Linked DNA regions of Ovis aries. The protein of the gene in region 1 purifies or fractionates together with the protein of each later gene. This does not show direct contact. Links are inferred from orthologs where the notes say so. Each region holds a gene or a part of one and is shown in the gene's direction. Other genes may lie near its edges.

Region 1 (8,447 bases):
CTAACCCCACGTCATCAAACAGGACTTAATATTTAACTTAATTACAGTTTCAGCTCTTCCCGAAATGGAATCAAACTTGTCAATCAGGAATTACTTGGTCAGTACTAATGAGGTGATTTGTTCTTTAGACATACTATCCTCAAAAGAAATGTGTCCTTAACACCAGCAGTTCAGTTTTTGCTGGTATAACTTCCTTGCCCTTGTTCCCTCCTAAGTCTTCCACTTTGTACAGCTCATTGGAGTGCCTTTCTCTCTGCTTAGATGGGATGCTGCCTGATCCATGAATTGTTGAATAAAGCCAAAAAGATCCTCCAAGTTTGTTGTTGTTCAATCATTCAGTTGTGCCTGACTCTTTGCAACCCCATGGATTGTAGCACCCTAGGCTTCCCTGTCCTTCACCATTTCCTGGAGCTTGCTCAAACTCATGTCCATTGAGTCAGTGATGCCATCCAACAATTTTGTCCTCTGTCATCCCCTTTTTCTCCTGCTTTCAATCTTTCCCAGCATCAGGATCTTTTCCAGTGAGTCGGCTCTTTGCATCAGGTGGTCAAAGTATTGGACATTCAACATCAGTCCTTCCAATGAATATTCAGGGTTAATTTCTTTCAGAATTGACTGGTTTGATCTCCTTGCTGTCCAAGAGACTTGCAAGAGTTTTCTCCAACACCACAGTTCAAAAGCATCAATTCTCTGGCGCTTGACTTTCAAAGTTTACTCAGTTGAATTATGGTTTTTTAACACTACTCACTGCAAGGTGTGATGCTCAAGTCACCAGCCCAGAGCAATTATCCCAATGGCTCTAGGACTTAGTTTCCTGGGTATCTCAAAACTGGGAAAAGGGCACAGTATAACAGATACAGACAAAGGTCCATATAATCAAAGCTATGTTTTTTCAAGTAGTAACATACTGGTGTGAGAATTGGACCATAAAGAAGGCTGAGCACCAAAGAATTGATGCTTTTGAACTGTGGTGCTAGAGTAGAGACTCTTGAGGGTCCCTTGGAGAGCAAGGAGATCAAATCAGTCAATCCTAAAGGAAATCAACTCTGAATATTCATTGAAAGAACTGATGCTGAAGCTGAAACTCCAATACTTTGGCCACCTGATGAGAAGATCTGACTCATTGGAAAAGACCCTGGAGAGACTGAAGGTAAAAGAAGGGGACAAAAAAAAAAAAAAAGAAGGGTGGCTAGATAGCAACACTGACTCAATGGACATGAATCTGAGCAAATTCCTGGAGACAGTGAAGGACAGAAGAGCCTGGCATGTGTCAGTCCATGGGGTCTCAGTTGAACATCACTTAGCAACTGAATGACAAAATAACAGATACAAATCTGTCCCTGATATCTGTTTCTCCTATAATAAATTAATAAAGTCTTCTGATTTAAAAATGGTTCCTTGAAATTCCTTGGTGGTCCAGTGGTTAGGACTCAGCACTATCACTGTGAAGGGCCAGGGTTGTTCAATACTTGGTGGGGAAATTAAGATTCCACAAGTCACACAGTGAGGCCACACACACACACACACAAAAACCCTAAGAACTTGCCTAGCATGGATATTCCCTGAAAAACTGTTTCAATGCCTTGCAACATTCAAGCTTTGCTTATTTATTTGGCAGGGGTGGGTCTCTGTTGCTGCACATGGGCTTTTTCTGGTTGTGGTGCACAGGCTTCTCATTAGTGGCGTCTCTTGTTGAGCGAGACTTAGGCACATGGGCTTCAGTAGTTGCAGTACGGGGGCTCAGTTGCTCACCGGCATGTGGGATATTCCTGGATCAGGGATTGGATTTGTGTCCCTTGCATTGCAAGGTGGATTCTTAACCACTGGACCACCAGGGAAGTCCTAAATGCCTTTAAACATTTATTGAGTAAATGTCCTAGGCTTGGTAAGAAAGAACAAAAAATAGGGTCCTTGCTTTAAAGGAGTCTGAAGTCTAGTTGGGGCAGACAGACATAAATAAATAATTGTAAATTGTAAAGAAGTATGAAAAAGGTCGTAATTGATTTATGAACAAAGTGATATTAGCACTTGGACATAACCTGAGGTTTTAGGGATGAATGGGAAAAATCGCTACCATGCCAAAAGAAGGATCAGGAGGAGGAGAAAACTGCGTGTCACCGCTTCGAACAGCTAAGTTATTTGGACAGAAAGATCAGTTTCTCTCCTTGAAAATTTGACGACCAGACTTCCTATACAAGGTACTACAAAGTACCACAGTCTGGTACACCCAGTGAGCGTTTCCCGTCAGGTTATCACAGTGAATACTTGCCTAGGAAATAGGTTCCGAAAATTCAACCGAAGTGTTTATAGAAAATTATCAGATATCACCAGGGCTTCAAGAAACACTTGAAGATAGAACTCAAACACAGCTTCAGTTAAGCGCTTCACTTTTCTCAAACACTTGAAAAGTGTTTACCTTTTCCTGATTGTGTCACTCAACCTGGTGAAAATTAGTGAGATACGCGGCTTCGATCTTTCTGGGTGTGTGTTTAGGGGGTGGGGGTGGGGCCAAAAAGGAACCAATATAAACCAATATAAAAAAACCAAAAAAGGAACCAAGATAAAAGGCCAAGAGGGAGACGTCAGATCACAGCCACTGATTTCTACCGATTTCAAGTTTTCTTTAGGTGATCACCAACCTGAGTGGTTCCAGCACCCACCCTGTCTTCACCTTCCCCTTGCCTTTCTGTCTTTCCCTGCACCGGTTCTCCCGGATTCCTGAGTCTCCTGGCTCGGGAGCTGACCACTTCCCGCGTACCAAGTACCCTTGGTACGCCGCCCTTCCCAAGTACCATCCCCAGCTGCTGGCCTAGCCCATGAGCGGTCTCAGTCTGCTTGGCCGTGAGCTAGACGCGGCGCGGCGCGGCGCGGCGGGGCGGGGCGGGGCGGCCGCAGGCCGAGGGGGCGGGGCCTGGCCGGCGGCCGTGGGCGGGGCCGGTCCAGGCGAGGCGGCGCCGGCGCACTGTGTCCGCTGCGCTGAGCCGCAGCAATGGAGCAGGCAGCTCCCGACCCTGAGCGGCTTTTGCAGCCCGCGCCGCTGGAGCCGCTGAGCCACCCCGACGCTGGGCTGGAGTCCATGGTCGGTGAGGAAACGAAAGGGGCCCGGGACGAGGGCCCCGGGGACGGCACGGTGAGGAGAAGGGGCGGCAGAGGCCTCCCACCCCCGCGGCCTGGGGCGCGGCCTAGAGGGCAGAATGGACTGGTTTACGCTGACCGCGCGGGTGGGCTCGCTCGGCCGAGAGGCCCCGCGGCGACGGGGAAGCGGGGTGCAGTCAGTGGGGGGAGGCTTGGTGGGAAAAGGGGGTTCTGAGTAGGGGCGAGCGCCAGGGCTGCGGGACCGCAGGAAGGGTGAAGAGGGCGCGGCCGTGGGCGCGGCTCGGCAGGCGCGGGCGCGGGGCCCGGAAAGCGCCAGGCTGAGGCAGGTGCGGTTTCGGGGTTGGGAACCCCGGGGGGTTGGACCCGAAGAGGAACGCTGATGTTTCTGGCATCTATAAGTTGTGCGGAGGAGTAGGCTTAACCGTGGGCGGTGGCAGCGGTGTTTGAGAAAGAAGAGAATGGGGGACTTGAGGAACAAGTTTGGGGCACGAGGGTGTTTGGCTTGGTGCCACCATCGGGAGATGGAATAAAGTGTTAGAGTCAAGAAAAGGTACAAGTGAAAAAGATTTTTTTTGTTTGTTTGTGTGGTTTTAAATAGATTTTTAGTTGGAGAATAATAAAACTGCTTTACTATATTGTGTTGGTTTCTGCCACACAGGAACGTGAATCAGCCATAAGTAAGTATACATATGAGCCATAAGTAAGTATACATATGTCCCCTCCCTCTTGAACCTCCCCCCATCCAAAATCTTATTTGACTTGTAATTTCCTCATTTGGGGTCAGTGCCGTATCTCCCAATGGAGATGTGTCATGGATATCCCATTTGTTGGCTTTGTGAAGCTCCTTTGATAGTGATTTTCATTTGCTTGACAGAAGGATGAAATGCATCATTTTATATTTGTAATTACTTTCATTCCAAAGTGTTTCCACGCATAATGCAAGATGAGTAGACCATGTTAAATAAAGTGATTTGGAAACTCAGTCGAGTACTTATCATCAGACCACCCTAATGAGGCTGTGCAGTGCTCATCCATTTTGGTTGTTTTTTTTCTGAAACAAGTTATCAATATAAAACTGCCCATCCTTGTGATAAATGGATAAAGAAAAGTTAAAAGTTGTTGGCTGACTGTAACTAGAAAGACAACTAGCTAGGAATTTCAACACTATTTGAAGTTCAACACTTCACCACTAGCTATTTTAACTAGCTAGGAGTTCAAGGTTTTGCCTACTTGGGGGAAATGTCGAGGTATAGGATAGCATGAAAACTTCTGTGGGTGAATTTTAAGTTTTTCATTTGTTTTCTTCCTAAATTATAGAATTGTTTGTGGCGAGGTATCTTATATGAAATGTGAGAGCAGTGTGTGTATTCTGTAGTCCATAAACTTGACTCTTACATGAATTGCTTTTTTAATGGAGATTCTATTTGTGACTTAGTTTTTCTGTTTCTTAAAAAAACAACTTTTACTGTGAAGTTTATAATTAATGCAGAGAAGAGTCTCACAAAATAAAAATCAGTTTCTTTGAAACCTTTTTATAGTCTCCTGTTACATCCGCTCCCTCGACCACAGAAGTAATTATATTCTGGATTTTGTATTAACAACTTTCTAGCTTTAAATATATATATAAATGTAAATGTCCCTAAACAACATGTTGTTTAGTTTTACTTCATTTTGAAATTTACATAATCGAACTAGTTTTACTATGACTTCCTTTTTTTGCTCTATACTGTTTGGGGATTCACCCAAAATGTAACTTAGTTTGTTTTTATAGTCATGACTCTATAGTATACCATTTTGTAGGTATTCTACAGTTGATTTCTCTTTTCCTCGTTTTACAGACATTAGGGTTGTTTCAAGATTCTTGCTGTTCCTGAAAGATAACTACCACTATGAACTTCTTACATGTAAGAAATACATAGTGCAAGTGTCTATAAACATAAAAGTTGATTGTTGGATCATAGGGTGGTAGCATAAGACATGGAGAAGACAATGGCACCCCACTCCAGTACTCTTGCCTGGAAAATCCCATGGACAGAGGAGCCTGGTAGGCTGCAGTCCATGGGGTCGCTAAGAGTCAGACAGGACTAAGCGACTTCCCTTTCACTTTTCACTTTCATGCACTGGAGAAGGAAATGGCAACCCACTCCAGTGTTCTTGCCTGGAGAATCCCAAGGACAGGGGAGCCTGGTGGGCTGCCGTCTATGGGGTCGCACAGAGTCGGACACGACTGAAACGTGTCCGACTGAAACAGCAGCAGCATAAGACATAGAGGTGTGTGTGTGTGTGTGTGCGCGCGGCCACTCAATCATGTTTGACTTTGTGAACCCATGGACTGTAGCCCACTAGAATTTTCTAGGCAAGAATATTGGAGTGGGTTGCTGTTTCCTACTCCAAGGGATTTACCTACCCAGGGATTGAACCCAGGTCTCTTGCATCGGCAGGCAGATTCTTCAGCAGTGTGCCACCTGGGTAGCACTGTAGCATAGTAAGTAGTGCCAGGTTGTTTGCTAGAGTGAACATACCAGTTTGTATTCGCATCAGTAGTGCCTGCTGCTGTCTGTCCTTATCAGCACTTAATATTTTCAGACTTTAAGTTACTTGCCAACCATGTGGATATGTGTTAAAGCAATTTTAGATTGTTTCAAAGGGTGAGAATCATATCTTTTGTTAGCTGAATTGTGAGTTTAATTTTGATAATGACTGAACATTTTGGTAATTTTTTTTGTGACAGCCTTTGGATGGTTAACTAATATGAAGTTGCAACTATAGTATAAAATCCATTTGTGTTAAGTGATTATAAATATCTCATTTAAAGTAAAAAACCTGTGTTCAGTTTAAGATATTTGAAATCCCAAAGATGCCATCATACAGTAAAAGTTGTAGTTATGTAATATTATCTGACTTTTAAATGTGTGATAAGAGACCATTTGAGATTGCCCAAGCTTAGGGTTTCCTCAAACAATGATTTGGTAATTTATAGAGATAATTTAGTAACTTTTAGAAATACAAGCCATTTGGACAAATATTTCAGAATCATCTGGAGCTTATCAACACACACATGTGCATCCACATACACTCTACATGTTGTCCCCTCCTTCTAAAAGTCTGCAGTCTCAGAAGATCTACTCCTTTTCCTGTTTCTGTCCCCTCTTCCACTCTAATCCATCCACAGTTGAGAAGTATTGCAGTAACCATAGCCATGTTGCTACTGTTACTGGTAGATAGGAATGTGGTCTGGGCAGACAGGTAAATTACATTTGTTTGTGCTAGACACTGTGAGGCTCTACTGTTCATTTAATTTTCAAAATTACTCCCAAAAGACATAAAAGACATACAGAGATAAGGAAGCAGAAGCTCTGAGAGAAGTAATTTGGCCAAAGTCACAAACTAGTGACATGACTGGGATTTGGGCCCAAATCTTTGTGGCTTTGACATCAGTGCTCTGTTCATGAAACCATAAAGCTTCACTCCCTGCCCCCTCACCACCAAGAAAAAAAAAAGATTAAAAATAGTCTTGTAAATTGTAAAATACTATACTTAAATATTTTTTTTATTAAGATTCAAGTTGTTATTTTAAGAAGAAAAGAGCTCTGAATAATATGTTGACTTATCAGTAACTTTTTCACCATAAAAGCATATATACTGATAGTGTGGAGAAATGACAAAAAGCCTCATCAGCCTTATTTTTGACTCTGCATTTTGGTTGGAGAGAAAATTGTGCTAGTTGCCCTACACTGAGGGATAGTGGAAACATGCACTGCCAAGGTGATCTTTTCCAGTTTTAAACATCCCTAATTTTAACATTCTTTAAATTCGGTTGTAAACTCTCATTCTCTTGTTTTTATTTCTGTGAGTCTTTGTCCTCTTCCTTTCCAATGTCTAGTTAGAAGTTTCCCTTTCTTTCTGTACTTTTTCCTTACAAAGAAGAGTGTATTTTTTTTTAAGTGTTGTTGGTTTTATTTAAAGAAGTTTGGAATATGAAGAATGAGGGAGGACCACAGTCTTCAAGAGAGTAGCAATCAGTCCTGGCGAGGACGCAGCAAGGGAATGGGGGTAAAAATGCTGCTTTTTTTGGGCTGGAAAATTCCATTGAGTTGGCAGTTAACAGTATTTGCTCAGAGAAGCGCTGCCTGAGGTATTCATAGTGTCTTTTCTTTTGTAGGGAGGATTCTTTAGGCTTCTTGAGTGCTCCTGGGGCTAAGAGTGCTTGAGCAGCCATTGCTTGAACAGTGCCTGTACACTGTTAGTTCCTTCACAGGGTGGCGGCAGAAAGCTGAGTGAAGGAGTCCAGAAGTTAGTGGAGGAGGGTTTGAGACATTTGTGGTAAAGATAATATGAAAAAGGAAATGTATAGGCAGAGTTACAGAATTTATCAGCTTAGGGCTTCCCTGGTGCCTCAGCTGGTGAAGAATCCGCCTGCAGCGCAGTAGACCCCGGTTCAATCCCTCAGTCGGGAAGATATCCTGGAGGAGGGCACGGCAACCCCCTCCTGTATTCTTGCCTGGAGAGCCCCCGAGGATAGAGGAGCCTGGTGGGCCACAGTCATGGGGTTGCAAAGAGTCGACACGACTGAGCGACTAAGCACACACAGCACAGGAGATTATTAAATAATTCTCAAGAATTGCTTTCCTCACTTTCTACTTCAGCAGCTCTCAGTTATTTTTTGAAGGCAACTCATGGTGCAGAATGCGTTTTAAATCATAGTCAGTACACATGTACTTGTATACATAGGCATTGTTTCAATTCAGTCATGGCCCACTCTGACCCCAGGGACTTTAGCCCACCAGGCCTCTGTGACCATGGGATTTCCCAGACAAGAGTACTGGAGTGGGTTGCCATTCCCTTCTACAAGGGACCATCCAATCCAGGAATTGGACCTGTGTCTCCTGCATTGCACGTGGATTCTTTATGCTGAACCACCAGCCCCCTATTTACCATGGGAATAAGATATTTGCATTTATTATCTACTTTTTATTAAAAAATTTTTTTTTGATGTGGACTATTTTTGAAGTCTTTACTGAATTTGTTACAGTATTACTTGTTTTTTGTTTTTTTTTTTTTTGGCCACAAAGCCTGTAGGATCTTAGCCTCCTGACCAGGGATTGAATCTGTGCCAGCTGCATTGAAAGGCGAATTCTTAAGTACTGGTCCACTAGGGAAGCCCCTGCATTTATTATCTTAACTGACTCTATTTTTAGCTGATTTTTTTCTGTTATAGTTTATGCTTTCTTATTTTGGTTTCTGTTTTTGGATTTTCCTTTGTGGACCATAGTTTCTTTTGTTTTATCCTCTATAATTTTGAAGGCATGTCTTTTTTTTTTCTTCCTCAAGACATAATTGAGACAGATTAT
Region 2 (7,898 bases), on another chromosome or scaffold:
GTTTAGCATTACTTCAGTTCAGTTCAGTCACTCAGTTGTGTCCAACTCTTTGCAACCCCATGAACTGGAGCATGCCAGGCCTCCCTGTCCATCACCAACTCCCGGAGTCCACCCAAACCCCTGTCCATTGAGTCGGTGAAGCCATTCAACCATCTCATCCTCTGTTGTTCCCTTCTCCTCCTGCCCTCAATCTTTCCCAGCATCAGGGTCTTTTCCAATGAGTCAGCTCTTCATACCAGATGGCCAAAGCATTGGAGCTTAAGCTTCAGCTTCAGCTTCCGTCCTTCCAATGAATATAGCATTACTTACCTGCAGCCAAGTTCCTAGCAGGTGGGCATTTTCTAGGCACTTGCCAGGGACAGAGTCAGGACAAACACAGGTGCTGGATTCTACATAGTCAGAGTCAAGTTGGCCATCTCCCCTTCAGTAAATTTAAGAAAATTGAAATCATTATCAGGCATCATTGAAATCACATCAGGCATCTTTTCTGGCCACAATACTATGAGACTAGATATCAATTACAGGGGAAAAAAAAAGCTGTAAAAAACACAAACACATGAGATTAAGCAGTACATTTCTAAATAACGAAAAGGTTACTGAGGAAATAAAAAGGGAAATAGAAAAATTCCTGGAAACAAATGACAGCGGGAACATGACAGCCCCAAACCTGGGGGATGCAGCTGACTCAAGGGGGCCACCCCGTGCCTAGTCGCGGGACTTCCCTCTTGGCAGAACTGGTCCAGAACCCGAGGTGCTCCACTCTGTCTGTCTGCGGAAGTGAGAGCTCGTGTTCAGACTCTCGTGCCAGCTGTCTTCCACCCCCCATCCCTTTACGCTCATGCCTCCTAGTCTCATGTTGAGGCCATAGGTAATTCCTCCCGCGTTGGCAAGGATATTTAGGTCCAGGTACTTTCCAGTTTTCTTTTTCAAAATCCCATATTGAGAAATATTTACAAACAGTGTCACCTGACGTAAAGACCTTAGGGGGATGCCATTCTGCAGACAGTGAGGACCACATGCCAGAGTCCGCCAGTGTTGCGATTTGTTTTTATTTTTTTCCCCCTTTTTCCCAAACCTCAGTTGGCACTCAACCTCCTGGATGACATTCTTATTCATCTTCTCTTTTCCCTGGAAGCCTTCCCTCCACAGTTCAAACTTGTGTTCTTTTTTTAAAAATGAATATTTCCTGGTGAACTGCTCCTCAGGCACAGTTCTTCCAGAGTAAACACAAAGTAAACTCCCCCCTGTTCTCCAGAAGTACAACACACCGTTTCACCCAAATTGCAGGTTCTTCATCCAGGCAAGCCCTCAAGTTTCATCATTTTTACTGAATAAAGGGACAAAGCAGGAGAAAGCTTGGATCCCTGGTCACTAGGAATTTGTGTGAAAAATAAGGAGGAAGGTATTTTTTTTGTGTGTATGTGTGGTTTTTATTTGTGGGCCAAGCAAGGTGAACTGATGTTTAAAATGTCTTCAGGTTTGTTACTGAAGGAGAACACACGTCCAGAAAAGTACGCCAATCATAGCTCAATAGGTGATCAGAAAATGAACACGCCCTTTGCGACCATTACCTGTATCAAGACAGAAAATCCCCAGCACCCTGGAAGCCCCCGTCCCAGTCACTCCCGCCCTCCTCCTCCCTAGAACGAACGCTGGCCTGATTTCTAGCATCGCAGAGCGCTGGCTGGGTTTTGCCGCACGGCCTTTCCTGTCACTGCGTCCTGCCTCCCACCCTCTACGTCCCTTATGTGGCTTCGATTGGATATAAATGAATGAATCTCAGCTGTTGAATTTTGCTCCTAAAGACAATTTAGGATATTTTGTACAAGAGAAAGGGACTCTTTAAAAAAAAGTTGTATTTCAACAGTTGTGCTTAAAGAAACGTGTGCAGGGTCAGTGTCCCTTGTTGGAAAGGAAGGAGTCCAGCCCTGGAGAAAGAGACCTGGTGTGCAGGAGCAGGGGTGTGAGCGCGGTGGCCGCGATGACACAGGGGAGGAGACGTGTGTGTCTGTGTGTGTGTGGTTAGCCGCGATGACACGGGAGGAGACGTGTGTGTGTCTGTGTGTGTGTGGTTAGCGCCTTACCTAACTCGGCTACTTTTCTTTTGCTTTTTAATAATTAAAAATACATATTTATTTGGCTGTGTTGCATCTTAGGTGTACCGCAGCATACAGGAGCTTAGTTCCCCAGCCAGGCATTGAACCCACATCTCCTGCATCAGGAGGTGGACTTATAACCACCGGACCACCAGGGAATCCCCAGTCCCTTATTTTCGGAGTCCTCCATTTCCTAAAGGAATTGGCTTACCGAATCCTGGCTGTGTGAGCGGGTGAGCCCTTTGAGTCTGTCTCTTCGTGTGTCATCCTTAGGACCTGAACGCCCACAAGAAGCAAGGGATGGCATTGCTGACTCGAGTGGGCGAGTCGGTCAAGCATGTCGCTGGCGGCTACAAGCTGAGAAATCGGCCTCTTGAATTCGCAGCCATCGGCGAGTACTTAGACACGTTTGCGCTCAAGCTGGGAACCATCGATCGAATAGCCCAGCGGATCATCAAGGAAGAAATAGGTGAGCTGTGTGTCAAGGTCTGGATCAGGCCCGCGAACCATGTTTGCAGAAATGGCACTCGTGTGTGCCAGGCAGAATCAAACTGCTGAAATGCTGGGGTGGCAGAACCAGGCCACACTATCCTCGTGAAACCAACACACACACGTATATATACGGAGCGGGGGAGGTAGTTGAGACCAGAGGGGAATTTTGTACTCCATCCCTGGCCTTGCATTTCATCCTGTGTTTGATTTCCCCACGACAAACAGCCACTCTGAGCCACTAGGCTTTTCTAGTTTTCTCTCTTGATTTCCCTTCTTCCATCGCCAGAGGATGAGATGGTTGGATGCCATCCTCTCTCTCATCTATAGCGACGATCATTTAAAAATTAAACGAGTATCTTTTCTGGCAGAAAGGTGATTGAGAAGGACAGCCTGTGTTTGCCAAAGTTCTGATCCTAAGGAGGTTTCAGACTTGAAATTGACTCACCTGCCTCGCCTTGGCTTCATTTCAAGCCCACTCTTCCTGAGAGTTCCAGGCCTTTCTTTAACCTTCCTGGTTGCTGCCGCTGCTTCATCCCCACCCCTCTCTTGGCCACTTGCTTTTCTGTATCCCAGAATGTGGGGGCCTTTTGTCTTCTTACACACGTGTAGGCCAAACACACCCAAACACTATGTGTGATCATGCTGGCATGTGATGTGAAACGTAGGAAAGGATTCCCCGGTAGCTGCAGTCCATTGGTTATTGAAAAATGGCAGCAACGTTTTATCGTAATGGCAAGAATCCTGGTGACAATTGATGGCCAGATTTTCTTTGTGAGGAGAAATAATATTTTCCCCTGTGTTTTAATTCTCCTTTACCTGCTGCTGGTCTTATGTGGGCCTGCAGGTTTTAGAGATGGCTTTAGGTACCATCCACACCTAAAGATCATGTGGGGTAAATTCTGATGGGCCCAAGGTGTTGCGGTGACCCCTGAGTGAGAAAGAGAGTCTGCCTATGTAAGCCCACACTTTCTTATATCAAGTATTTCCTAAAATTCGATTGGTTTTCCATTGTGACTGATTTTCTTTTTTTTTCCCTTTTGAAAACATCCCCCTAAACCTATATGAAACTCTGCTTCCATGGCCTGTCAAAATATTGCTTCACTGTAGGAGTAGGTGAGTAAGTTTTTTGGAAGATATTTAGTGGATGTCACTCCCAGCACTTTCCCCCTGAAGGCTTGGGGGCTCCCATTATCCAGAGGCATGACATTTCCATTATGGAGTGGAGTTGACTGATGTTGTGATGTTAGCTACAACATCAGCTTACAGAGATTGTAAAAAATATTCTGTTACCATCAGTGCTGTGTTTAAAGGGAAACATGCTCAGAGAGCTCTTTGCTGCAATAGTTACTGAGTCAGTAATACCAGCGATTACTGCCCAGCCAGATCTCAGCTGGTTTTTCTCTTCCCCCTTTCAGTTCAGTTCAATTGCTCAGTTGTGTCTGACTCTTTGCGACCCCATGGACTGCAGCACGCCAGGCCTCCCTGTCTATCACCAACTCCCAGAGTTTACCCAAACTCATGTCTGTTGAGTCGGTGATGCCATCCAACCATCTTATCCTCTGTTGTCCCCTTCTCCTCCTGCCCTCAATCTTTCCCAGCATCAGGGTCTTTTCAAATGAGTCAGCTCTTCACATCAGGTGGCCAAAGTATTGGCATTTCAGCTTCAACATCAGTCCTTCCAGTGAACACTCAGGACTGATCTTTAGGATGGACTGGTTGGATCTTCTTGCAGTCCAAGAGACTCTCAAGAGTCTTCTTCAACACTATAGTTCAAAAGCATCAATTCTTCGGCACTCAGCTTTTTTTATAGTACAACTTTCATATCCATACATGGCTACTGGAAAAACCATAGCCTTAGCTAGATAGACCTTTGTTGACAAAGTAATGTCTCTGCTTTTGAATATGCTATCTAGGTTGGTCATAACTTTCCTTCCAAGGAGCAAGCATCTTTTAATTTCATGGCTGCAGTCAGCATCTGCAGTGACCTTGGAGCCCCCCAAAATAAAGTCGGCCACTGTTTCTACTGTTTCCCCATCTATTTGCCATGAAGTGATGGGACCAGATGCCATGATCTTCGTTTTCTGAATGTTGAGCTTTAAGCCAACTTTTTCACTCTCCTCTTTCACTTTCATCAAGAGGCTCTTTAGTTCTTCTTCGCTTTCTGCCATAAGGGTGGTGTCATCTGCATATCTGAGGTTATTGATATTTCTCCCGGCAATCTTGATTGCAGCTTGTGCTTCTTCCAGCCCAGCGTTTGTCATGATGTACTCTGCATATAAGTTAAATAAGCAGAGTAACAATATACAGCCTTGACGTACTCCTTTTCCTATTTGGAACCAGTCTGTTGTTCCATATCCAGTTCTAACTGTTGCTTCCTGACCTGCATACAGATTTCTCAAGAGGCAGGTCAGGTGGTCTGGTATTCCAGTCTCTTTCATAATTTTCCACAGTTTCTTGCCCAGCCAGATCTCAACTGGTTTCTCTTCCCCTTTTAGAGTACCTTGTAGAGCTGAGAGAATACGGGCCCGTGTACTCCACATGGAGCGCCCTAGAGGCGGAGCTGGCCGAGCCCCTGGAGGGTGTGTCAGCCTGCATCGGCAACTGCTCTACAGCCTTGGAGGAACTGACCGATGACATGACGGAGGACTTTCTACCTGTGCTCAGGGAATATATTTTATACTCTGACTCCATGAAGGTAAGCTGGCTCCCTCATTGTGCACCTAGGTACTTTCTTTGTTGTCATTAACCAAAAACTAATTGGTTATTGCCTATTTGCTTGTGGTATTGGGCTTCTCTGGTGGCTCAGCTGGTAAAGAATCTGCCTGCAATGTGGTTAGACCTGGGTTCGATCCCTGGGTTGGAAAGATCCCCAGGAGAAGGGAACAGCTATCCACTCCAGTATTCTGGCCTGGAGGATTCCATGGACTGTATAGTCCACGGAGTCGCACAGAGTCGGGCACGACTGAGCGACCTTCACTTCACTTCACTTAGGTTTCCTTCTTCCTAGATGGGCAGGGTCAGACATGTGGACTGACCTCTTTCCTGAACATGTAAAAAGAACACATGGTAAATCCAAGTATGTGAATTAAATGAAAAAAAAAAAAAAAAAAGAAAGTTTGAAAGAGATTCTTACTAGAATCTTAGAGGGGGAGCTAGCTAGAGTTCTCTGAGTGTTTGAGATGTAACATCTGATTAAGAACAGTATGTTGTGAGAAAAGAGCAATTGAATAATAATTAGAGCTCTTTGAAGTTAAAGTGTGGTTGCTAAAATAAAATTGAAGAGCACAGTTGGAAAATGAGGCTGAGGAAATCTTGGGAAGTATTGTAAAAAAAATGTAGCTGGAAAGTAGAACAAAAATGCGAAAATACTGAAAATGTGGAAGAAGGATAAAAGACGTAGAGGATTCATCTCGAAGGTTCAGCGTCTGACTAATAAGAGTTATGATTGAAAGGACAGAGAAAACTGAGAAAAGGAAATTATGAAAGAAGCAATACAAGAAAGTTTCCCTAAACCAAAGGGCATAAGTCTTTAGATGAAAAGGACAGGGTGATTACCCAGCAAAAGGACTGGACAGAAAACCAACCCAAAGCATATCATTGTAAACTTTTAGGGCAGAAGTGATAAGATTCAGGTACAGGATCAAATGCTTTAATGTCCGCATTAGAAACTGCCCCAGCCTGCAGTTAGACCAGTTGGAGAGTGTAGCTGCGGGGGACTCCTGTGATGGTGGGCAAGGTTTATCTTGGCTAGCTGGCTCATTTTTATAGATGAAGAAGCAGAGGCTCACAGGTAGATCTTTTCTCTGCTCCACGGTCCCAGTTCTAATGAGCAGCCACCTTATATTCATGCCTTTACTGTTGGCGAGAGAAACTGGGTCAGTTCCTGCTTGTCAAGGCTGAGGCGGACCTTGTCTGTCTTTAAGTGTCCTCGTGGCACGGCACGTTCTGTTCCCTTCAGAGGCAGAGAGAGAGCACAGCAAATGGCCCTAGGAGCCCACGTGGAACTGATGGGTCATGGTCAGTGGACAGTGAAGGCAGCTTGTGCTGGATTGGTGGCTGAGGATGTGTGCTTCCAAGAACACTGTGGAGTGGACAGAGCTTGAGAGAGAAGGGTACCAGAGTTAACCTCAGGCCCAGGACTCAAACACGCTGTAGACATCTGCAGGTGAGCCCCTTATATGGGCTCACATTCTATACACAGCATGTATATAAAATATGGCTATGATAGTGATGGGCTGGGAGAGAGAACACGTTAGAGTCTTTAGCAAAGTCCTAGCAGTGCTTTTTGAGCACTGGTGTCAATATGACCAGGCCAGGAGTTGGAGAAACTTTATTTAAGAAAGTTAGGGAAGGGCCCTATACTTCATATCTCACACTGCCTTATTCGTGGAAGGTAGTCGGTGAATATTTAATTGAAGCTGACAGTGTGGTGCATTTAGAATGTTTACAGATATCTAACTATTGTATGACACCTATCTTGTTATTTTTAATAACTTGTAGTAGGTTTATCTACATGTAGCAAGTCAAAGAACATGCTTATCTCAGAAGTACTGCTGATAACTAGTGAGATGAGAGTCAGGGAGAGAGTGATAAGGTAAAGGCCAATGCAAGTGGAGCCAGCTGAGCAAGGGAATGGGTGGCAGGTGGGGAGGTCAGATAAGTAAAGGATAAGATGTGAGGAGATATACGGTAGTGTCTTAAAGGTCATAGTTGGTAAGTCTGGATTTTGTTCTTAGGAATAAAAGAGAAGCCATTTGGTTTCATGCAGGGAAATGACAGGCTATGGTTTGTACTTTAGGAAGACAGCTGGTGCTATAATAATGAAGAATGGATTGTGGAGAGAAAGGGTCGGGGGGAGGGAGAGAGAGATAAAGGTCCGGAGGCCATCAGGAAAGTGTTGCAGGGAGCCGAGTAGCAGATAACTGAGGGTAGAGCTTGGGGAAGTGAGCAAACTTGGGGTATATTTTGTGTGCAGGACCAGCTAGACTTGCTGCTATGTCAATGTGAAGTGAGACATGAGGAAATTTGAGGATGACTCCTGGATTTTGGGCTTCAGCAACTGTGTTGATAAAGGTCCTGTTTAGTGAGGTGCAGAAGTTTAGAGAAGAACAGTTGGGAATCAAGTTGTTTTGGCCATACTGAGTTTAAAAAAAGTGCCTATTAGACATTGAAGTAGAGCTGTCATGGCAGCTGGTTATGAGTTCAGAAGGAATAGAAATTTGGGAGTGGTTTGTTTATAGATGGCATTTAGATCTGTGAGAGTTGGGGCGATCGTCTGGTGAGAAGAGACTGAGGCAAATAGTCCGGGAC
Region 3 (7,898 bases), about 110 Mb from region 1:
TTTTTTTTTTTGTTTGTTTGTTTGTTTGTTTTTTTATTCCTAGGAATTCTCTTCTCACAAGAAGCAAGGGCCTGGATTACTCAGTAGGATGGGACAGTCAGTCAGAGCGGTTGCATTGTCAATGAGAGGAGTTAAAAGTCGCCCCGAGGAGTTCATGGAAATGAATAACTTCATTGAAATATTTAGCCAGAAAATAAATTTGATAGATAAAATATCTCAGAGAATCTACAAGGAAGAACGGGGTATGTAGAACTGCTAAACTGTGATCTCAAAGTTGTTGCATTTCTGATGAATCTTTTTCCATTTGCTGGTGTGGTAAGGCAGCATCAACTTAGCATTTCTTTTTGGTCATTCTTAGGATTACTGTCTCTGCTTACAGTGCCCATCTGTTATTGCATGCTGTTTACTGTATCTAATTAGGGCCCTTAGCATATTCATCATAGTTGTTTTAAAATCATGCTCTAATTCCAACATCTCTGCCACATCTGGTTCTGATGCTTGCTCTCTATTTAAATTGTGTTTTTTGCCTTTTAGTATGTCTTTTAATTTTCTTTTGCCCATGGTAGCCAGACATGATGTACTCATAAAAGTAAATAGGCCTTTAGTAATGTGATGGCGAGGTGTGGGGAGGGGAAGCGTTCTGGAGACCTGTGGTTAGGTCTCAGTGCTTTCATGAGTCTGTGCCTTGGACCACTGTGAGCCTCACAGAAGTTCAGGGTTTTTCCTTCCCCCTCTTAGTTGAGACAGGATGACCAGAGGAGGCTCAAGTTGAGTATTTCCTTTCCTCCAGCTCAGTTGTGCTTAGTCACTCAGTTGTGTCTGACTCTTTGTGACCCCATGGACTGTAGCCCCCCAGGATCCTCAGTCCATGGGGATTCTCCAGGCAAGAATACTGGAGTGGGTTGCCATGCCCTCCTCCAGGGGATCTTCCCAACCCAGGGATCGACCCCACGTCTCCCACATTGCAGGCAGGTTCTTTGCCCACTGAGCCACCAGGGAAGCTACCAGGTCAGTTAGCCTCTGATAATACCCCAGCAGGTAATGCTCTGGGTAACCAGTTTCCCACAAGGGAAGGCCTTGTTAAAAAGAACCCTGGCTATTAGGTAGAGTACCTTGGCTATTACAAAATGGCTTATTTTCTCATCTCCTGCAGGAAGCAGAAGTAATTTTTGCCTGATATTTACTGTGCAGGCTTTTGGAGGTAAATCTCACAATATTGTGGGATTTCACCCATGGCTAGTTTCCCTGGAGTTTTTAACTCCTTGAATTGTCCACACTGAGACTCCAGCAATTCATCATTGACAGTTTCAGTTTCCCAGCCTGGGCACTGGCTGGGCATTCCTCTCTGTTTTTTGTTTTTAAAAATTTTTATTGGAGTATACCCAGGTATGCCAGTGATAAAGAACCTGCCTGCCAATGCAGGAGACGTAAGAGATGCAGGTTCAATCCCTGGGTTGGGACGATCCCCTGGAGGAGGAAACGGCACCCTGCCCCACTATTCTTGCCTTCTTACCTGGAGAATCCCATGGACAGAGGAACCTGGCAGGCTACAACCCATAGGGTTGCATTGAGTCAGACATGACTGAGCACACACACGCATTCTTATTTCCATTTATAAATAATAGGGATAAAGAGCTTAATATTTTGGGTGTAGTCAGTCTCAAATGTTCAACATGGGCCATAATTTTAATCAAAGAAGTGATGTTTCAGGAAATAGGGTTTCCACATTTGCTTGGGCGGGGGTGGGGGAGGAGGTGCAAGAACTCTATATTAGATCTGTCCAAGCAATGGCAGAGAGATTTAAAATAGATCTCTTTTCCTATTTTCAAGTTAGATTTTATTTCATGATTCTATGAATTCTATAAATTCTATGATGAGTTTTTGCCAACTTAGATGGCTAAGTCTGACAATAATTTGATTTATGCCTTCTTGGTCTTTGTATTTACCATTTGTAAGTTTTAAAAAAATCAAGAAGATAATTGTTTTAACTAGGTTTAGTGATTCCAATTCTATTAAGTGAATTCTTGATGGATAGTTAAGTGGTATGGCAATTCAAAGAAACCCCTGGAAACTCTTGACATTTAAGAGTTCTACAGAATATCAAATAGCATCATTATGTGTTATATTTACTGGGGCAAGGGACTAGTTTTCAAATCTCTGATCTGCTCTAATATTTGTGAAATCCTCAAAAGGAAAACTGGGTTTTTGTGGTGGACTTTATAAATTTGAGCTCTCAATTTCAAGGAGTGGAGGCACACTGGCACAAACTTAAGGGATTTCTTGGTCTTTCGAATGTAAAGCCCATTTTTCAAGATTTCATTTAAAATGATGGGGTGTTTTTTTTTTTGTTTGTTTGTTTGTTTTTGAGTTCTGGGAGTCTAAGCTATATAAGGCATTTCATATTTAAATCATGAAGAATTTGTTTATCATAATGAGTCATTTTTCTTTTGACTTGCTTTTATTCCTTTTTTTTTCTGTGACTTTGTTTTGTGTTCCCTAATTAATTAGGCAAATTTGTATTGACCACATCATGTGCTAATGCTTTGTGCTAAAGATTGAAGGAGGGTTAAAATAGTATCTGTCCCTGAGTTCACAGTCTAGTTGGGGAAACAGATATATTAACAGACAAATTACAGTGCAGCTCAGTAAGTGTTTCCATACAGATGCAATTTGAGTGCTTATACAATTTAGAATTTCAAGGAAGCTCTTTATATTAAAATAAATACTTTACAGGGTAAATAACACACTTTGATATATGCAGAAATTAAGAAAAGAAATAAAGGAGAATGTTTTCTTTTCTAGAAATATTGGGGCCTCCCTGGTGGCTCAGACAGTAAAGAATCTACCTGCAATGCAGGAGACCTGGGTTTGGTCCAACGGGAATATACCCTGGAGCAGGGATAGTGTCACATGACCATTATCTAAAATAAAAGATAGGCCTAGATCAGGAGGATGCAATTTGGAAGGATCCTAGTGGTTGTCAAACATAGTATCTTCTTTAGGTGATAATAGTATTTGTATTGTTTTTAAATCTTTAAAGTCTTTTTTAGTTTACCTGATCATATAAACTTTTGAAAAATGTAATAGTTTAATAAAAAAGTTTAATTTAGAGCAATATGACATATTTCAACTAACCCCAATGACTAATAAGATGATTAAATATAGAGAACTTAATTATACTTATGTGGGTATTAGACCAAAAATTCTCACTATTCATGCATCCTCTACCATAAAAAGCCATCTGTCATTCAACATTGATAGTGTGAAAGCAAATGTATAAAAATATTCAGATTTTAAAATGAAATCCAAATTTTTGGATAAATGGTTTATCAAGCATTGAATAGTCTTTTGTTCATTCTTTCATTGATATGAAAATATTTATTAAATACATTATGTATTAGGCTTTGAGATTAAAAAAATAATGACTCTGCCCTATTGTAATGAGCGTATGGCCTTAGAGTATGTGAGTTATGCAAGCAGTTATAATAGAGTGAGATAATAGTATTAAATTATGATAGGCTTTAATAGAACCATAAAATTATGACACTCATTGAGGACAAAGCATCTACAAATCCTCTGGAACAGAAACGGGAGAGATTTACTTGTGTTACGACTTCAAGTGTGAGAAGTAGTTTGTCAGATGATAGGAATGGTAGAGGGCAACTGAAAGACGTGTGCAGTGTTTAAGTTAGGAGAAATCATGATATTCATGAATGAGCTGTTATTTTGGCTTGAATTAAAATATCTGTGAGGGAGATTTTTCAGGAGTTAGATCTGGAGAGGCAAGGTAGGGACTGAAGGACTTAAAGGCCTTTCTAATTCAGCTAAGAAGCTTTAATGTTCATATACTGTGACAAGAATTGAGAGGGAGAATTGTTAGAAGTCTCTTGCAGGAGCACAGGTTAGAGATGCTGATGATGGTGCAAGTGAGGATAGGTAGATCGGTGGGGAGATGGATGGATGGGTGGGCAGATAAGTAGATACAGATTTAGAAAGACTGGAATTAGTGATTGACTGTCTCTTTGTAGGTGTCAGTTTAGGGTGCAGGATGACCCCACAGTTTTTGCTTAGATCTCTGGAAGCAATTACCAGTAACTAGGATATGTAAACAGGAGAAGAGGAAAAGAAGACATGTTTTGTTTACATCATGTTGCCAGTGAAATACTCAGGTAGAGTTTGTTTGGTAGGCAGAAGTCCATGATACAGTAGACACAGTGATCATATAATTCATTGCCCAAGCCAGGATACTTTTGACAATGAAAAAGCATGTTATTATTGATTACACCTGGAAAGCTTTTATTCAAGGACTGTTCTGAGCAGACTGGGAGGACAGGTCAATTTAATGAAAGACGATATCTGCATTAATGTTCATCTACAAGAACATGCACACAATGAGAAAAATAAGGTCTTTTCTTATTGTCTATAATATAGGGATTTTTAAACTTATATACATTTTCATGTATTTTAAGTATATAATTAAAGTTATGTTGAAATATATATTGAAAGAGCATATTATAAATTGAAGAACTTATTATTTTTTAGAATATTTAGATGAAATGAAAGAATACGGTCCAATTCATATTCTGTGGTCGGCATCAGAAGAAGATCTGGCTGATACTCTAAAAAGTGTTGCCAGCTGCATTGACAAATGCTGTAAGGCCACTGAAAAATGGATGTCTGGATTCTCAGAGGCCCTGCTACCTGTCGTACATGAGTATGTGCTTTATAGTGAAATGTTAATGGTAAGGACTCCTAACTATACTTCTACCTGAGTCCCTGACTTGCTTTATAAGCTTTATAAAGGCAGTTTCTGTTTCAGTTTGTTCATCACTATCTTCCTCTCATAGAAAGATGCTTTGCATGTAGATGCTCATAAATATTTGTTTACTGCATGAATGAATTGATGAGTAGAAGAATATGTTAATAAAAGACAGGCATATTCAACAGTAGTAACAGTAGTTTATAACATAGGTTTGAAGCATCCTCAGTCAATATTTACATAGAGAGTATGATTAGTTTTTCCAGTGTTTTAAAATTTTACTTTCAGAAATTTCAGCACTTTAGAAATTCCTTTTCATGGACAAGTTGCTTTCTTGCTTCTAGGTACGTTTGAAAGATGATATCCACATTCTTAATGTTCATGTACAGGAACATGTGCCCAATGAGGAAAAATAAGGTCTTTTCTTATTGTCTATAATATAGGGATTTATATGAATATACATTTTTGTTACATTTTGTTTTCATATTTGTATGAAAATCCCTAAAATATAGGGATTTAGTATGTTTTATTTTGTTTGTATTGTTATGTAGAAAGTACTTGAGTAGGATCTTGATGTTTGTTCTGTCTTCTGGATGCTTCTAAAGAGAAATCCTCCAAATTACCATGTTTTTCTTTCATGACTTGAAAAGGCTTTTATTCCTTTTATATCAAAGTTTTACGTGTAACCTCCTAAGTTCCAGTTTAGGTCTCCAGATATTTGGGATTTTGTGATGTTATCTGCAAAGCTAATGTTTTTCATCCTGTATTCTCTGCATAATACCTCACACAGTTGAACTGACACCCTCAGCTTTCTGGTGTTGTAGATGACAGTGGTGGAATAAGTCAGTTTGCATTGCCTGGTAGTCCATTTTTTCCTGCCATTTATGCTTGAATCTATGGTTTCTGTTTTCATGTACTCTTGATTTGGGAGGATTTAAAAATTTGTTTTGCTTCTGTCTCGGTAAGAAAAGCTCTCTCAACCTTTCAGCATAATATCTGCCTCTTTCATGTTTATTATGTTTAGATTTTCCTTCACAGAATCATTAAATATTTTGTTATTCTGCTGTTATTTGACTTTGTCAGGGTCCTCCTATAAGCACATCCTCCCTGCTTCCCAAAGTCCTCTAGTATTTTACTGTTGAGGCACCTCTGCTTTGCCTCCATCAATTTCCCTTGGCTACATTCCATTGGTTTACTTCATTATTGATCTCCCTCTTGTGTGGCTATTCAAAGAGATCTGATTTTTATCATTAAAAATATAATATTATTTTCCCTTAATTATATGTGTTTTGCTCTTTATTATGTCAAGATGGAAATTATGCAGTTTAAATCATGTGTCATTAAAGGTGTGGAAAAATGATAATAGCAACCAGAATTGAATTATTTTATAAGTCCTCATTTGATTGTATTATTTTGTAGGTTCCCAGGGTATAATCAGTAGCACTTACATTGCAGATCTGTTTCTGTTTTATATTGGAATGTTTTCTTCAGTGTGAGCTAAAATAATGAAAAGTATATGCTTTGACAGAACAATTAAATTTTTGCTGTTTTTACTAGTTGTCTTCTGAAGCCACCTCTTACTTAAAATATTTCTATCTATATGAAGCACAATATTTCATATTGATGGAAACAGATCTTAATGGGACTAAATTATTGCATGTGCCATTTGGGTTAGAAAATGGAAGGAGTTCCTGACATTAATGGCAATTAAACATTGAAGTAAATATAAAAGAATTTGTGACAATTAGTTGAATTTTCTATTCATTTCTTTGAACACAAGAGAGTTGTTAATCTCTTTGAACATTTTAAGAGTGATTCTACCAGGCACAAATCTAGGGTGAGTTATTTTCAGGACGCTTTTTATCCTTGTGTGCTGTGCTTTGCTCAGTCACTTCAGTCATGTCCAACTCTCTGCAACCCCTTGGGCTGTAGCCTACCAAACTCCTCTATCCAAGGGATTCTCCAGGCAAGAATACTGGAGTGGGTTGCCATGTCCTCCTCCAGGGAATCTTCCTGACCTAGGGATCAAGCCCTCATCTCTACATCTCCTGCAATGGCAGGCAGATTCTTTACCACCAGCGCCACCTGGAAAGTCAGCTTTCTATCCTTAATGACTCAGTTTTCACACAAATACTATAGAGCCAGCTTGTTTGGTTCCATTTAAGTGATTTGCTGTTTAGGTTTTTCTCTTCCTCTGAAAACACCCAAAAGACCTGTACCACATTAAGGTTCTTCTCTTATACGTCCTACAACTCCACTCTTCCTGGTTGAACTGTTTGCTTGCTCAGAGTTAGTTTTATTTTTGCCTTGAACTGTTTAGGCCACTTGTGTTTATTATTACAATTTCACTATTTAATTAATAGTATGAAAACCAGTGAAAGATGGGTACAAATAGTCTTTGCATCTGCAAAGCCCAGGTAGACTGTCTAGAAGAAAAGTGAGTCACCAAGGGAAAGACATTGTAAAATGCTAGAAAACATCGTAAAAGATGTAGATGAATTCTGTACTTAAATGCCTTCACAGGGGTGTTTTAACTGAAACATAAAATCATGATTATTCAAGTAAGTAAGGTGGAACTCCTATCAGTCAGAGTAGAGGCCATATTTCTTCCTTAAAAGCTTGGCTAATTGGTTAACACTTACGTATTTTAAGCTAAAATAAAATCTTAAGATGTGAATGCATACTTCCATTTTGATTCCCCACTGTAATTGACTTTGTTTAGCTATTAGCTTTTGGAGTCCAGTAAGAAGGCTGATTGTAGATACTTTCAGATGCGTGGTGCATATGCATTCACAACTGCAACTAGTTTACACCATAGCATGTATTTTCAATGCTTCTACTGATTTTATGTTATTGTTGTTAATTTGTTTTGTTCTTTGGTCTTTTTGAAGAACTGTACATGCCTAGAGTATACCACCAAAACATTTGTATTTTGTGCATAAAATACTTACATCAGTAATAGGCACATTGGGAAAACTAATAGAAGATTTATGAACAAGTTTCTTTTAAGTGCTTGCTATCTGTTTAGCTTTTAGAGATTAAAAACATTTTAAGGCATTATACCCCCAGATGGACTGATGGCCTGGGGAAGAGATGCAACTTGTATTCTTGAATGTATATTTTTGCTATACAAAGATTA

Evidence for each region.
Region 2: the proteins of SNX4 (region 1) and SNX30 purify together in Homo sapiens (co-immunoprecipitation; 4 studies listed by BioGRID and IntAct, counting the BioPlex papers as one, with this or other methods). This does not show direct contact. The link is inferred for Ovis aries from reciprocal best matches to the Homo sapiens genes SNX4 and SNX30.
Region 3: the proteins of SNX4 (region 1) and SNX7 purify together in Homo sapiens (affinity purification with mass spectrometry; 3 studies listed by BioGRID and IntAct, counting the BioPlex papers as one, with this or other methods). This does not show direct contact. The link is inferred for Ovis aries from reciprocal best matches to the Homo sapiens genes SNX4 and SNX7.

The regions. Positions count from the first base shown.
Region 1 is NC_056054.1:190,787,903-190,796,349, reverse strand, and holds the start of SNX4 (sorting nexin-4), read left to right. Parts: upstream 1-2,959; 5' UTR 2,960-2,989; coding exon 2,990-3,130; intron 3,131-3,754; exon of another isoform or gene 3,755-4,985; coding exon of another isoform or gene 4,986-5,000; intron 5,001-8,447. UniProt on the Homo sapiens protein: Involved in the regulation of endocytosis and in several stages of intracellular trafficking. Plays a role in recycling endocytosed transferrin receptor and prevent its degradation.
Region 2 is NC_056055.1:10,862,431-10,870,328, reverse strand, and holds part of SNX30 (sorting nexin-30), read left to right. Parts: intron 1-2,369; coding exon 2,370-2,565; intron 2,566-5,083; coding exon 5,084-5,283; intron 5,284-7,898. UniProt on the Homo sapiens protein: Involved in the regulation of endocytosis and in several stages of intracellular trafficking. Together with SNX4, involved in autophagosome assembly.
Region 3 is NC_056054.1:76,030,364-76,038,261, forward strand, and holds part of SNX7 (sorting nexin-7), read left to right. Parts: intron 1-43; coding exon 44-242; intron 243-4,542; coding exon 4,543-4,742; intron 4,743-7,898. UniProt on the Homo sapiens protein: Involved in the regulation of endocytosis and in several stages of intracellular trafficking. Together with SNX4, involved in autophagosome assembly by regulating trafficking and recycling of phospholipid scramblase ATG9A.